Caenorhabditis elegans: one gene and its partner. The protein of the gene in region 1 purifies or fractionates together with the protein of each later gene. This does not show direct contact. Each region holds a gene or a part of one and is shown on either strand. Other genes may lie near its edges. The genes, in order: C53A5.11 and tag-267.

Region 1 (4,148 bases):
ATGTTTATTAAATTCTGGTTATGAAATTTGAAAATGAAAATGACGACTTCAAGCACTTTAGTTTAAAATCATAAATAATGCGGTATGAGGCTCGTACGCAACGGCCAAATCTTCTTCCACAAAACTACCCATTATGCCAAAACTTTCCAGATTCCGTCACACATACATGCGAATTCTCCGTTGCAAATTTAAAGCGGAACGTCCCACAATGAATCAGGGATATGTCCGACGCAACTAGAGACTCAATCAATCAGTACAAAAATGTGCACAACTCCCTTTGCCAAGATCTCGAAACACTTGAAACAGTATATTAGATGCATTTGAAAACCGGTCCAACATCATCATTTTCTAATTTTTTTCAACTTTTTTCTTAACTTTTTTCAAATTAGTTCGAAATATTTGGTCTTGTTTATCAACATTCTTCTCACCGAATCATTGCTCATTCATTGTTGACGGGTTTTTTAATGTAAAGAAACTCTTTATTTTTATTATGTTCTATTTTTTAATGAGTCACAATTATTTAAAATCTGAAAAAAAAATCCTGGAAGAGAAACTGCATTCTTATATTCAAGAAATTTACTCAATTTATGCTTCGGAACAATTATAGCAAGACCAAAAATGAAAACGCAATGTTTTTTATCATAATTCTGTTTGAGAACATCTGTATTAAGAAGTCGCCCATGTCAAAGTCTGTGGATCAAACCTCTCCGTCTCTTTAATAAGATCCCAGTCATGAGAACATCCACGAATTGCATAGATTGCTTCATTCGTAGCATGAAGCTTAAAATACTTTCTTCCCGTATTCATCGATGGCTCATCTTTCCATGTATTTGTCAATGGATCGTAACTTTGAAAGGTTTTTAATGTGTTGCAAGGGGTGTTCCATCCACCAGCCACATAGATTCTTCCACGGAATACACATGCACCAAAACCTGCACGTCCAACCATATTACCACAAACCTCAAACTTGTCTTTCGAATCTGATAATTTCTCAATAGTCTCTTCATAATCTTTTCCATTGAAGCCGCCAAGCACTGAACCATGATTAATTAAGAGAAGGTTGAATTCTTGCTAGAACTTACCAAAAAGTTGTCCATAAAATGATACAACTGATGCATCGGCGCGACGGTTATTTAATGATGGGCCTGTGGTCCAGTCTCCTCCAGTTTTAATATCATAAATCTCAACTGAACTCATATATGTCGCATCGTATCCTCCCACTGCGTAAATTGCGTCCTCATGAATACATGCAGATGTCCGAGTTCGTCCATGCATTAGCCTTGTACACTGTAAAGCTTTTTGCTCATTAAATTCACTAGCTAAATAAACAAACCTCTACACGAATACCCTTCTCTTTATCAAACATCTCTACACGATTCAAATATGTTCCATTATTCATTCCTCCGATTATAAAAACTTTCGTTGAACTGGATACCACTGCGTAATGGGATTTTGGATTAGGAAGTCTTCCAATAGGCATGAAGCTCATTGTATCAGGTTTGAAGTATCCAATGAAAAGTGGCTCGCGGGAATTTTGTTTTCGATCTGAAAAAGAGAGAAGATAGACAATTAACTTGCGCTATTTCCATCCGGATGCGCGCACGGCGATTCTCAAACGGCCGTGATACGCGGATCGTGCGGTCTTCTATCACGATCGGCTCATTGTGGCCACTGAAGTATTTTGTGCAAATTGCAAATTAACTATATACATAGTATGATATAACCTGACCGCTGAAGCATTTTGTGCATATTGCAAATTAACTATATACATATGTAGTATGATATAACATTCAAAGCTTCAGCGATGCCTCCTTGAAAACTTGCGGTACAAGATATCCTAATTACAACGAAACATCTAAATTTGTCCTTTAGCAATGGATTTGAAAATTCCAGTATATTTTAAATTGTGAAATATACAGAAGTTAGCTAGCGATGTATGCATAATGTCTCACAATCAGTGTCAGAATCAGACATTTTGTTATTAACATACAAAGAGAAATCTTACCTGCTACCAAAATTGGATCCATATTCAGCACACCATCATCAACCATAAAAATTTGTTCTTTGGAATTCAAAGTATTAATATAGTTCTTCAATTTTGTATCAGCAACTTCCATCAATGAAGTAATATCATGAATCATTGTGATGCATTTTAAATTATCTTTTCCTTCGTATAATTCAAAACTTAATATTCCAAAAAACATTTGCAAAGTTTGAATCAGATTTTCGGTAGTGTTTCTGAACTGATTTCTCATTTCTATTGCTTTTGGATGCTGTGTTTCTTCTGATTGTGAGTCACTGTGGTAATCAAACTCTGATGCACCAGATTCTCGATCTGATTCTGAATCTGAAAATATCTGAAATCGAAAAATTATGAACATATAAATAAATTAGCATTGTCTCACGTGATTCGTCATTTTTTCGACACCAATAATTCCTTGCCTGTGACGAGGAATGCCAAGAGAAGTTATCTGAAAATCAAACGTTTGAGAAAAAATTAGTTTAACAAAACTAAAAGTGAAAAGGAAAACTACAGAATAAGGATAAAGCCTACGGTACAAGCTTTCTTCTTTTATTCTACTTTGATCTATGCTGCGTTGCTTTATAAGTGTGTATTTACTCAACAACTCAAAAAAATTTCAAAGCATTACTGAGGAATCTTTTAGCGCCGAGAAAGCGGAGATGACAAATCTTGCTAACATTAAATTTATATAGAATTTTGTATTCATTTCATGATTCATCGAGTTTGTCTGATTATGTATCTTCTCGTTTAGTGAAGAGCAATAAAAACAGTTTGTTATTTGCTTTTATGATGCTATAATTTCAAAATAACGTAGTAAAGTATTCAAGAACTATTTGGAAATTTCTAATTTGCATCCAAAACTATATCAATTTTGACTGACAGACGCCAAAAAAAACTAATCTTCTGTGACTTTATTTTATTTTGATTCCATTTCAATTGTTTGTATTAATAATAAACATTGTAATTCTTTGAACCCGCAGAGATGCTCAAAATTAACCAAAAAAAATCGATTTTTTTTGAAAACTAGTCAACTTACCAAAACTTTGACTGAAAAATTTTAAAACCGTAAAACTCTTTACAAATAGAGCGTGTTGTTTTGACTGCCAAAAGTTATTAACGTTAGACGAAATCCCGAGAATCCACTTTTAAGGTAAAATGTTTTTTACCTTAAAAGAGAATAAAAACTGAAAAAAAATGAGTAAATCAAATAATGGTCCGATAATATAGAATCGGAATACTCTTTGCTGAAAGAACCTGTATTTTTATCGAAAGAAAAATGAGGAATCGTATTATCAATGTGATACTGTAATTGACACATAGAAATTCCTATCCAGTTTTAGAAATGGTATTTCATATTGAAAGTTATTAGGAAATTATTTTTTATGTCATCTTGACTGAAGACTTCACAGAGGCACAAGTCTTCCTAGATCTCAGAAATATATCCTGAAAAAGCGATTTAAAGCTGAAGGTGGAATGAAGAGTGGAATGAGTGAAAAGGCGTTTTCATGACGTCACACGTAGAATTGATTTCCACTCAGTTAACTCACAAAAAGTCGTTCAATTTTTGATAAAAACTTTGCTTGGAATTTTTTTTTGCTGAATGTGGTTCAGGTACACGTCACCAAATATTCCTCACTGTAAACCTGAAATTGTTTCCTCTTGCTCATCTTTTTTTTACGGTTAGAAATATAATTTTCATGAGTTCTAAAACGATCAAAGTATAAACATTACATTCTGCAATATGAAAGTGGTGATTACAGTAACTTTATCATTTATCTGAGGAACTAAGGTATTTGATTTTGCAACAATATGTATTGCTAATCGTAATTTTTAATCACTTCTCTCCCTATTTGAACTATTTGTGCAGACATTGCTGGTTTAATATAAATGTACTTGCTATAAATAAAAAAACATCTGAAGCTTTGAATTTGTTTTATTCTATTTTAACGAATTAAAAACGAATAAATTGTAGATTTTACCGGTTGTCGTTCAATTCACATTACGATTTCCCACTTGGACAACAAGAGCTGCTGAAGTTTTTGACACAACTGAAGTTTTTCCGAATGCGAACTTAAAATTTTGAAAGATTGCATCGAATAGTTTATAAATAATTCTCACCGTTAGC
Region 2 (3,304 bases), on another chromosome or scaffold:
TTTCAAAATTTTAAAGAATTTCAGTATATTTGATATTTTCCGAATAATTTTCAAGCCAATTTTCAGTCATTTAAGCCTGGTAGACTAGATTCGATTTGAAAAAAAAAAAAACTAAAAACCCTGAATAAAGCATTGGGGGAAGTGGTGGTGGTGATGACAATCGGGAAATATATACAAAAATAGACAGAAATACGGAAAAATCAGGTCAAATGGAAGAACAAAAAAAGTACAAATTTGTTTGGAAACAGTGGGCGAAAATGCGAAATTTTTCGAAAAATGTGCAAAATTTCGCAATTTCCGGATGGGGACTAATCGGGAAGATTTAAGGCGGGTTTAGGCAAAGTTTTCAATTCGAGCACATATTCGGTCAGGCGGTCTGAGGGCTCCGTTGGGCGCCGAGCCAGGGACCAGTGGAGGCCCAATTTGTGATAAAGGCTAACATTCTCGTGGTCCAGACATTTTTCCAGCGCTAAGACGGTCTGAAAATTGGGGAATTTAAGAGAAAATTTAACTGAAAACTGGGCTGTGTCGATTTACGGGGATTTTATCTAGATTTTTTCAGTTCTTTTGGTTAAAAAAAAAAATTACAGGCTTTTCACGGCACAATTTTTCTAGATTTTTCGAGTTTCTGGCGGTTTCTTTCCACATTTTTAGTGGTTTTCAGTTGGTTTTCTTACCTTAAATCAAAGTGTTTCAAACATTTCAAACTAAACAGTTCATAACTGCCATTGCCTGCTAAATATTTAGCAGACCAACTGTGGGTCTGCTAAATATTTAGCAGACCAACTATGGGTCTGCTAAATATTAAGCAGACCCATTCAAAGTGTCTCAAACCACTTTTCAGATGAATTTTATTGGAAAATCGGCGAAAAAATCCTCGTAAATCAACACGGAGCCGAATTATCTCGCCTAATTTTTCGAATTCTTACCCTCCGATTCAGACATAACACCGGCCACATTGAGCATCCAATTGAGCAACAGCAAAACGCTAATCCACATAAAAGCCAGCGCGATGACGTTTGTACGTGGCGTTTGAGCACAGAATTTACGCGAGACAGTGTCGCCGAGAGTTCTTCTGGAGCAATATATCCGGTTAGTTCGGGCGGATATTCCGTGTTGAAACGGGAATTCATGCCAAATCTGAAGGAAAATTCGATGATTTTTTTTGATAAATATAGCTTTTTTTCTCTTAAAAACCACCTACACTGTGATATTTCCAACTCCACGAATCACGACGGGTTCCTTCTCCTTTGGAATGTATATTGGCTCGGATTCCTCGTCACTACTCGGCATCACGTCTATTTCTGGCTCTTCGCCGTCACTGGAAACCGACGCCGATGGGGCTGGTGAGCCATGTGACATTTTTTATGAATTTTCTCTGGAAAAATGTAGGATATTTTAGGGGTTTGGTGTTAATTTTGATGTGAGGAAGCGGCTGAAGTTGAAAATGTTTTAGAAAATTCATAAAAAATGAGAAAAATGCCGGAAAATTAACAGTGAGCCGTCTGGAAAATAGAGAAAAAAGAAAATCAATAGAAATTGAGAACTCAAGGAGACCACGCTCTCTCTGGGTAAAAGGTTGTTTGCAGAACGCATGTTTCCGAATGTCACAGTATAAACGCGAGGTTTTTTAGTTGAACACCTAGTAAAAGTGTTATAAAATGTAAGATTTTATTAAATGAAAATAAATTATTTACTTTGTAACAAGAAAATCTAAAATTATATGTCATTTACTCGTTGTTCCTCATTTCTCCAATGTGAAATCTCTCAATTTCGTGAAGTCTCTTGTGGTATGCAACGGCGCCCTATCGCACTTTTTTGTGAAACATATTTTTTCCTTTTTTTGCAGATTTTCCAATTTTTTTTCGCTAAACGCATTTATTTTTAATATATTTGTGTTTTATAATTTTAAAAAATCTGAAATTTTGCAAAATTTTCCAGTAAAATGGGCAAAAAACGAAAGCACCAGGACTCGGACTCAGAGCAATCTGGAAAACGGGTAAAAAAAGTGGTAAGAATTGAATTTCTTGATTACAACTTTTTTGGTTTTAATTAAATGTATTAAGGAAGAAGCCAGAAATGGTGTGGCTGACATGACGATCGATGAGAGCTCGGATTTTCAAGTTTTCCTCATCAAAAAACCGATTGGTGTTAGTTTAGAAGATTTGGAGGCGCTAAAATGGTCAAACGACGAGGAAGTGTTGACGAAAACCAAATTGAAGACAGGTGAGAGTATTTTATTGAGAAAAATCTATGAGAAATTTTTCAGAATCCGGAGTTTTCCGAGCTATTGTTGCGCCAAAGTCGAAAAAGGAGCGGATGGTGCATATTCCGGCGTTCAGGGAGCGGGAAGAAGCTGACTCGAAGAATATTAAAGCTCGTAAGCATAGAATTAAGCTTAAAAGTTGATAAAATTACCCAATAACAATTTTTTTCAGAGAGTTTCGTCACTGGCGCCATCACAATTCTCCCGCAAGAGGTGAAGCCCAAGGTACTAGGAGGATTTATTTATGAAGAAGGCGAAGAACCCGTTGAAGGCTCTTCAGAAGTCCATCCAGGCCTGAAAAAGATCAAAAAGACCGCAATTTTGGACCTGGAAAGCCGTCAACAACGTAACAAAGCCTATGGAACCACTACGGAAGGCGATGGAAAACCGAGAAAACTTGCAAATATTATCGAAAAAATGAATTGAAATTTACTTGTTGACACATTTTTTGTTGAATTTATCTTTTTGTTTGTTGATTTTTCGTTTTTTTAGCTAAAAATGTTTTTTTCTTAATTTTTTTCTGGTTTTTTAAATCGATTTTTGGAAGTTTTAACATCTTCTGTTAATATTTATTTGCCACGTGGCATTTATTGATTGAAATTTAACATTTTTCAGTGGTTTTTTGGGAATTTTTGATTGGAAAGACGAGATTTTTGCTGAGTTTTCCGTGAGAGAACTAGAAAAATCGCAAAAAAAGTCAGAATCTCACAAAAATTGTGTCTAAAAATTCTCCAAAAATATTAGTAAACTAAAATTAAAATTTTCTACAAAAATCCTTATTAATTACACAAAAAATTGCATTTTAGCTTTTATTTTTCCAAATTTTTCGGGAAAATTTGTGTTCTTCTAGGTAAAAATGGGGTTTTTCAACAAAACTAAGGAAAAACAAACGATTTTTAAATATATAATTCGTATAAACCGTCCAAATCGCTCAAATTTTTCAGGATCTCATACTAAATGGAAGTAGACGGTGCTTCTGACGACGAACAAGAGCAAATTATTCGAAAACTTGTCAAAAAACCGGAATTTCTATCAGAT

What was found.
Region 2: the proteins of C53A5.11 (region 1) and tag-267 fractionate together in Caenorhabditis elegans (co-fractionation; one large-scale study listed by BioGRID). This does not show direct contact.

Annotation. Positions count from the first base shown.
Region 1 is NC_003283.11:14,561,158-14,565,305, reverse strand, and holds C53A5.11 (Kelch-like protein 10), read right to left. Parts: upstream 2,418-4,148; coding exon 2,406-2,417; intron 2,358-2,405; coding exon 2,006-2,357; intron 1,546-2,005; coding exon 1,334-1,545; intron 1,288-1,333; coding exon 1,083-1,287; intron 1,035-1,082; coding exon 667-1,034; downstream 1-666. Other genes in the region: Muscarinic acetylcholine receptor gar-3, read left to right, coding at 151-238; srt-32 (Serpentine Receptor, class T), read right to left, coding at 4,013-4,093, 4,142-4,148.
Region 2 is NC_003281.10:638,849-642,152, forward strand, and holds tag-267 (Major sperm protein), read left to right. Parts: upstream 1-1,941; 5' UTR 1,942-1,945; coding exon 1,946-2,011; intron 2,012-2,066; coding exon 2,067-2,226; intron 2,227-2,269; coding exon 2,270-2,380; intron 2,381-2,438; coding exon 2,439-2,692; 3' UTR 2,693-2,771; downstream 2,772-3,304. Other genes in the region: tag-266 (Golgin subfamily A member 7/ERF4 domain-containing protein), read right to left, coding at 309-479, 930-1,140, 1,205-1,362; W06E11.1 (RNB domain-containing protein), read left to right, coding at 3,224-3,304.